Linked DNA regions of Arabidopsis thaliana. The protein of the gene in region 2 interacts with the protein of the main gene of each other region in a pairwise test. Each region holds a gene or a part of one and is shown on either strand. Other genes may lie near its edges. The genes, in order: APG7 and AT5G43690.

Evidence for each region.
Region 1: the proteins of AT5G43690 (region 2) and APG7 interact in a two-hybrid assay, tested with the Arabidopsis thaliana proteins (one large-scale study listed by BioGRID).

The regions. Positions count from the first base shown.
Region 1 is NC_003076.8:18,613,257-18,617,182, forward strand, and holds the start of APG7 (ThiF family protein), read left to right. Parts: upstream 1-1,918; 5' UTR 1,919-2,047; coding exon 2,048-2,186; intron 2,187-2,466; coding exon 2,467-2,678; intron 2,679-2,762; coding exon 2,763-3,009; intron 3,010-3,099; coding exon 3,100-3,194; intron 3,195-3,273; coding exon 3,274-3,566; intron 3,567-3,649; coding exon 3,650-3,794; intron 3,795-3,880; coding exon 3,881-3,926. Other genes in the region: SAG12 (senescence-associated gene 12), read left to right, coding at 44-497, 770-1,030, 1,178-1,503.
Region 2 is NC_003076.8:17,543,887-17,547,812, reverse strand, and holds AT5G43690 (P-loop containing nucleoside triphosphate hydrolases superfamily protein), read right to left. Parts: upstream 1,702-3,926; 5' UTR 1,541-1,701; coding exon 545-1,540; 3' UTR 328-544; downstream 1-327. Other genes in the region: AT5G43680 (uncharacterized protein), read right to left, coding at 2,459-2,493, 2,605-2,715, 2,785-2,953, 3,042-3,100, 3,175-3,316, 3,431-3,552, 3,679-3,739. UniProt on the Arabidopsis thaliana protein: Sulfotransferase that utilizes 3'-phospho-5'-adenylyl sulfate (PAPS) as sulfonate donor.

The DNA.
Region 1 (3,926 bases), 1.1 Mb from region 2:
GTAATCAAATTAAGAGCAAAAGTCATTTAACTTTCCTAAAACAATGGCTTTAAAACATATGCAAATCTTTCTCTTCGTCGCTATATTTTCATCATTCTGTTTCTCCATCACTCTTTCTCGTCCACTCGACAATGAACTCATCATGCAAAAGAGGCACATCGAGTGGATGACTAAACACGGCCGTGTCTACGCGGATGTGAAGGAGGAAAACAATCGCTACGTTGTGTTCAAAAACAACGTCGAACGCATTGAACATTTAAATAGCATTCCTGCCGGAAGAACTTTCAAACTTGCGGTAAATCAGTTTGCTGATTTAACCAATGACGAATTTCGTTCCATGTACACTGGTTTCAAAGGTGTCTCGGCATTATCTAGCCAAAGCCAAACTAAAATGTCGCCGTTTAGGTACCAAAACGTTTCTTCTGGTGCTTTGCCGGTTTCTGTTGACTGGAGGAAGAAAGGAGCTGTGACCCCTATCAAGAATCAAGGCAGCTGCGGTATAACTCAAATCTTTATTCATATATATATAAGTGAAATCAAATTGAACCAACCGAAATTTATGTATTCAATCAATTTGAGTTAATTCATAGTGAACAAACCGATCCAAACCAAATCCATAGTGTAACTGACCGAATCGAATAACCATATTTTTATTAAATTTTTCTATGTTAAGTTATATATATTTTGTTTCATACCGTTTTATTGAGATATGTAGTTAGACACATGAAAATATTTATGATAGTGACACTAATGAGTGATGTTTTTGTAGGATGTTGTTGGGCGTTTTCAGCGGTTGCGGCTATTGAAGGAGCAACACAAATAAAGAAAGGGAAACTTATATCTTTGTCAGAACAACAGCTTGTTGATTGCGACACAAACGATTTTGGCTGCGAAGGCGGTTTAATGGATACTGCGTTTGAGCATATAAAAGCGACTGGCGGCTTGACAACTGAGTCAAATTATCCTTACAAAGGCGAAGACGCTACTTGCAATTCCAAAAAGACCAATCCAAAAGCAACTTCTATTACAGGTTCACTTTAGTTAAAGAGCTGGCATATAATAATTAAACAGATTAAACCGATTTTTAATCATATTATCCAAATTAATAAACATTACTATACTAGATAAAATTCATATTTTGAATCTTAAAAAGCTCATGTACGTTCACATATCATAGGTTATGAGGATGTCCCGGTTAATGATGAGCAAGCACTGATGAAGGCAGTGGCACACCAACCGGTTAGCGTTGGAATTGAAGGAGGTGGTTTTGATTTCCAATTCTATTCGTCTGGTGTGTTCACTGGAGAGTGCACTACGTATCTTGATCATGCAGTAACTGCGATTGGATACGGCGAATCTACTAACGGATCAAAGTATTGGATCATCAAGAATTCATGGGGAACAAAATGGGGAGAAAGTGGATATATGAGGATTCAAAAAGATGTCAAGGATAAACAAGGACTATGTGGTCTTGCCATGAAAGCTTCTTACCCAACTATATGAATTCAAAACCGTGTTAAGCTTTTAATTGTGTATGTTTGTGTGGGATTGATGTCTAAAAATAATTTGAATTGTTTTATGTAAAAAAATTGTATTTAGACTGTTGTATGCATTTTATGAAATTGTAAGCTTATGTAATGCAAAGGATTGATAATTTTCGAAATGTTTCTTTCAAATTTCAACGGTATTAGCTAGGGATAATTTGAAGCATATGCACAATCAAATTCCACCAAGTAAAAATGAAAATTTGTTAAAAAAATGAAGTTTGAAAACTCTTAACCATTTACTGAGAAGACTGTAATAAACCGAATTTGGTTCAGTTTGATTTTTATGGAAAAAGACGAACCGTCCGGTTAATGCTTTTTACTTTTTTAAAATAAACCGGTTTTGGTTTGCTTGGATATAAAGCCGACCCGACCCGGATTGACCATGTTCCTTGCACGACTCCTTTTTCTCACCGTTCTCCGTCATCGTCTTCTTCTTTCTCACATTCATTGACTCTCCTCCATAATAAACATTGCAATCTCTCAGAAAGATAAGATCAGCCATGGCTGAGAAAGAAACTCCAGCAATCATACTTCAATTCGCTCCATTGAACAGTTCCGTCGACGAAGGTTTCTGGCATAGCTTCTCCTCTTTGAAACTCGACAAACTCGGAATCGATGATTCTCCGATTTCAATCACCGGTAAACACACAATCATCGAATTAAAAAATCATCCAATGCATCGATTTTTATATATTATTCGATGAGTCTATGCATTCGAGCTCTTATGATCCGTTTAGGTTAGAGAAGCAAAAAAAAAAGTTGAAAACTTGAAAATCCTCTGTTTTCTGGGCAAGTTGTTATGATCCGTTTAGGTTAGAGAAGCAAAAAAAAAGTTGAGAACTTTAAAAGCCTCTGTTTTGTTTAGTAGAGATTATTCAGATTTAGAATTTATGTGCTTTTTTGGAACTGAAATTTTCAGGTTTCTATGGACCATGTGGACATCCACAAGTCTCAAATCATTTGACTCTTTTATCAGAGTCATTGCCTTTAGATGAACAATCATTGATTGCTAGTACTAGTCATGGAAATAGGAATAAGTGTCCTGTTCCTGGGATTTTGTATAACACCAATACCGTTGAAAGCTTCAATAAACTTGACAAACAAAGTCTGCTAAAAGCAGAAGCAAATAAGGTAAATACAAAACTTAGCTCCGTGACTTGGTTTTTACTGGTTCTTGTCTGCAGAAGTTTTAACAATTTTGTTGGTGAATTTTAGATTTGGGAGGATATTCAATCAGGAAAAGCTCTTGAAGACCCTTCTGTGTTACCAAGATTCCTCGTTATCTCCTTTGCAGACCTTAAGAAATGGAGTTTTCGGTATTGGTTTGCGTTCCCTGCGTTTGTACTTGATCCTCCTGTAAGTTTGATTGAATTAAAGCCAGCTTCAGAGTATTTTAGTTCTGAAGAGGCTGAATCAGTATCCGCTGCTTGTAATGATTGGCGCGACTCAGATTTAACTACTGGTACTCAACATTCTTGTTCTATTTTTTACTATTAAAATTCAAGGAGTGGTAGCTGAAAACCTTTTGTTACTTCTCCGTGTTTTGCTGTAGATGTTCCATTCTTTTTGGTTTCGGTTTCTTCTGATTCAAAAGCTAGTATCAGACATCTTAAAGACTTGGAAGCGTGCCAAGGTGATCATCAAAAGGTATGTGTTAACTAACTCTTCCATATGCGTTAGATACAGAAAAAACAAAATTCACCTTTATGTGTCTCTCTTCCTGCAGTTGCTTTTCGGTTTCTATGACCCGTGTCACCTTCCTAGTAATCCTGGCTGGCCACTTCGAAACTACTTGGCACTGATTCGCTCAAGATGGAACCTCGAGACAGTTTGGTTCTTCTGCTACAGAGAGAGTCGTGGTTTCGCTGACTTGAACCTTTCTCTTGTTGGTCAAGCCTCAATTACACTTTCATCAGGTGAATCAGCTGAGACTGTACCTAACTCAGTGGGATGGGAGCTTAACAAAGGGAAACGTGTACCCCGATCCATTAGCCTTGCTAATTCCATGGATCCAACAAGGTACATTTTTGCTCTGTGTCAATGATCTACTCAACTAAATGGGTAAAATCTGATTAGACAAACGGAATCACGTTCTTTCGCAGGTTGGCTGTTTCTGCTGTCGATTTAAACTTAAAGTTAATGAGATGGCGAGCATTACCGTCTCTTAACTTAAATGTATTGTCCTCTGTCAAATGCCTTCTTCTTGGAGCTGGTACATTGGGTTGCCAAGTTGCTCGTACCCTTATGGTACGTATTGAAGAAAATGCGAGATTTGACATTATTTTACAAACTCACTGATTAACTAAGAACTCGTTTATCTTTTATTTTCTTAGGGTTGGGGAATCCGCAATATCACCTTTGTTGACTATGGAAAAGTTG
Region 2 (3,926 bases):
ACTTTGGGTTCGATTTGAAATGAAAAACTTTGGTTTCATTGCATAATGTTTAACCTGTATATATATAATAGGAGAGTCCTCTCTCCATTTAGGGTGTCCATCTAAGCATCCATATAAGCAACACTATTTATTTTATGTTAAAATAAATTTAAACATTCATTTAGTGCATATTTTTGTTACTTATAATCATAAAAAAATGAATAAACAAAAAACGAATTATGTAAAATAAATGAGCTGTTAAAATAATAAAGTTATACTATAACTTTTTTGTTAGTAGTAATAATCTATTATACCACACATTTTATTGTGCCTTTACGGTTAGGTGTATCGGTATTTACTCGGGCAATCATCATATCTTGAAATAGTTGTATTATGAATATACATGGAGTTGTGTCAAATTCACACTTTTGATTTTTGGGCCAATCACTATGCATTATTTTATTGAAAGACAGTCAATACTCATAAATCAAAGGAACATAAGAAACAGAAGGTAGTTTTATTATAATGCATATGTGAAAAGCTACAAACCACAAAGAACACGAATCTAGAACTTCAAGTCCGAACCTTTTAATTTCTCCTCGATGATCATGTCGATTTTGTTCTCCATTTCGGGAGTTAGATGATTCTTCCAGTCACCAACTTCTCCTTTGCGGAAATAGCTTTTGTAGTCATAGTTCATCCATGTTTTTCCGGTTTTGTTAACCTCCAAACCGCTCAGATTACCAAGAGAGCATAGTTCCAAGAGTTTGCTAATCGAACCACTATCTTCTTCTTCCTTAGTGAAAGGAAACCCCAAAAACTCGGCAAGCCTCTTGACCTGGACACACGGCTCTGTTTTCATTTCCTCGTACCTCATGAAAAGGACATGCTTGGGGTTTTCCAAGCTGCCTCTCCAATAGCTTAGAGCATGGTCCCAAAACGGACCATAGAAGCTAACTCCGCCACAGAATGACTCGAACATTGACTCAAGAGTGCTTCTAGATACTTCATTGTTGCTATACTTGGACCTGAAATGCCAATCCGATATCAAAACATCCTTTATGTTCCTGCACATATACACAACCTTGCATGGAGAACCCTTGAGGCCCTCTTTGAAGGTGTGTAAAGGCATGTGAGTCGAAAACAGCCTCGGGGATGATGTTGAGAACTTGGTTAAGTCCGGTGTTGAGGTTTTGAGATACATATCGAACTCAAAGAACGGTACTATGCCATGAGGATTATCGGATAGCAAAGGATGTGTGAGGGGATCATCATCAAAAGGCTGTTTAGATCTCTCCACGATTGCGACTGAGAGTGCCTTGAGCCAAGTTGTACCGGATTTGGGGAAAGACGCGAGAATAATGTCGGTGTCTTGCGGCTGGAAGTTTCTTTGGTAGTTGATGACTGCTTGGAGAGTGTTGTGGTAATACCAACATCCTTGGTACTTGCAGAGCTTCACATGAGAATCTTGGTATGTAGGAAGTGAAGAGATCAGAGTTTTTGTTTCTTCACTTAGGTTGTCGTCTCTCGCGATCACAGGAAGATCACTTTTTCCAGCCATTTCTTTCTTAATATGTTGTACACAAATGTGTTGTTTCAATATGCAAACATCACCTATATGAGTAACTCAAGTTTCTTGTTGGATGAATATTTTAGCTTTAAAATAGTAACAATTAGTGGTGGTTGAGAGAATATCTTGATGTTAAATATGTGTTGTGGTTGTCGTCTCTTCATTGCATAGTGCGTTTTAAGCCAATTTATTTGTTAATTTGTGCTACTACAACATGTTTTATTTTAAAATGCAAACATTATTATTTAATTTCTGGTAGGTACATATTAGTCAAGTTTCTTGTTGGACGAATCTGATGAATATTTACTTCCAAAGTAGTAACAATATTGAATATTATAAGCTATACAACAGCTACCCTAATACTGTATATACAGTAAAACTTCTATAAATAATAATGTTGGGATGTTATAGACCTTTGTTAATTAAGCAAAAGCTTCCCTTTAACCCAACTCTCTCTTAGTGGTTATGAATCAATAGAGACCCTTATATAGTCTTGATACAACTTAATCATAACCTTAATTTTCTTTTATAAAGGAAAACTTTGAGAAAACCATGGATGTCCATTGGATTTTTATAACTACACTTGTAAAAATACACAAAATTTTATAAAATTTAATAGATCTCTACTCTTTAAAAAAACCCAACCAACTCTATGCAAATCCAACTCACACTAAACCTCCGAAGTAAACAACAAAACCTAAACCTATAAAGCGGAAGCATTAATTACAAGATGAAAGAGTGAACTGACTTCGCTCCAAGTTTAGCTCACTTGTTGCCGCATCAGAAACAAAGGTCCCTCAGATTCTTGGCTCATCGAACATAAAAAAAAAAACAGTTAAATAACAAGGCCTACTCTTTTGTACCTTGCCGGTGTCTTGTGATCGATGATGGTCCCCAAAACTTTTGAGTTCAATTTTCTCCTTTCCTGTCACTGAAAAACTTCCCTGCAACACTCACAAGAATAAAGAAAAGAGTTTAATCAATACGAGTTTTGAGTTTTTTTGCTTTGATCTTAACTGTACAACAGATAGACTAAAGAGGTTGTTTTGTCTCACCTTTCAAAGCTGGAGTTTCTTTCTCGGCTTGTGCGAAAAAGCTTTTCGCCTTGTGTGCTACTTCCGCTTCAAGAACCGCCTCTAACATTAAATCAGATCCTCTTGCACTCTCTGCAACCAAACATATGGGAATAAAGTGAGCAACTTCGGTTTCTAAACTCAAGCTATAAAAGATTCTACCTTTGCGTTGAGGAAGCAACTTTGCCATCTCAGCTGATACTGGAAGAACAGGTGAATCACTGTTTAGACTGTGAGTTTTTCCATTGACTGTCTCAGATAATCGTGCAAATGATGTTGCTTGAGCGTGCAGGTTAACAGAAGCTGACGACGAGCCACTAAATTCTTGAGCCTTATATGAACATAAAAATACAAAAGTGTGAATTTCACAATTCAATAAATAAAAAATGGATCAAGAAGGATCATAACATCAAAAAGACCTTTGTATAATGATCTACAGGCTTCTGTTTTTCTTCAACATTAACGGATGTAACAATCCCTAAAATACAACAAAACCAGATCATGAACAACAACATGCAAGAAAGAGTAATGACTATTGAGTGTTTTCTATACCATTGGTGGTGCTTGGACTAGGTTCTTGAGTTTTTTGGTTATCCACTCTTCGAGTCAAAGGACTAGAATCAAATAGAGAAAATCTTGCTCCATGGCTAATCGCATCTACTTGTGCTCGTAAATCTTGAACTTCTTTCGATATCTAAACCAAGTACGAGAGTAATGTAAGGCAACAAGACTTCAAGGAATATGTCATTCGAATTCACTACAACAATGATGTTGAGATAAAACAATGTTGATGAAGAAACAATCAAACCTCTTGCATCTGAGGTTGTTTCATGACACCATCCAAGTGACCACGAGCCATATTGATGTAACCAATGGCTCGTCCGAATAATCTTCCTCCTGCTCTAGCAATAATCGGAAGATCCTTGGGTCCTGTTAAATCAGAGATTCACATTTGATTCTTCCAATTAACACTCAAATCATTCGATTCCAGAGAAATTTGGGAGAAGAACACAAAGATCGGAGCTGGTAAAGCTTTTCGATTGAAGAGAGACTAACCTACAAGAGCAGCTGTGGCGCCGACGATGAGTAAGAGCTCACCGTAAGAAAGCCCAAGCATTGCTTCGTTCACCGGCGTTCCTATCGTCGGTTTCGTGTTGGTCTCGCCGTCTCAGGGAAGACGAAAGATCTTTTTGATTATTCCTTACGAGTCTTGTTGGGCTCCAATAATATGGGCCGTGAAGCCCATTTATTGATATTTTTGCAAGACGGGAGAATTACAAAAAATTGCTTGAACAAATTTTGAA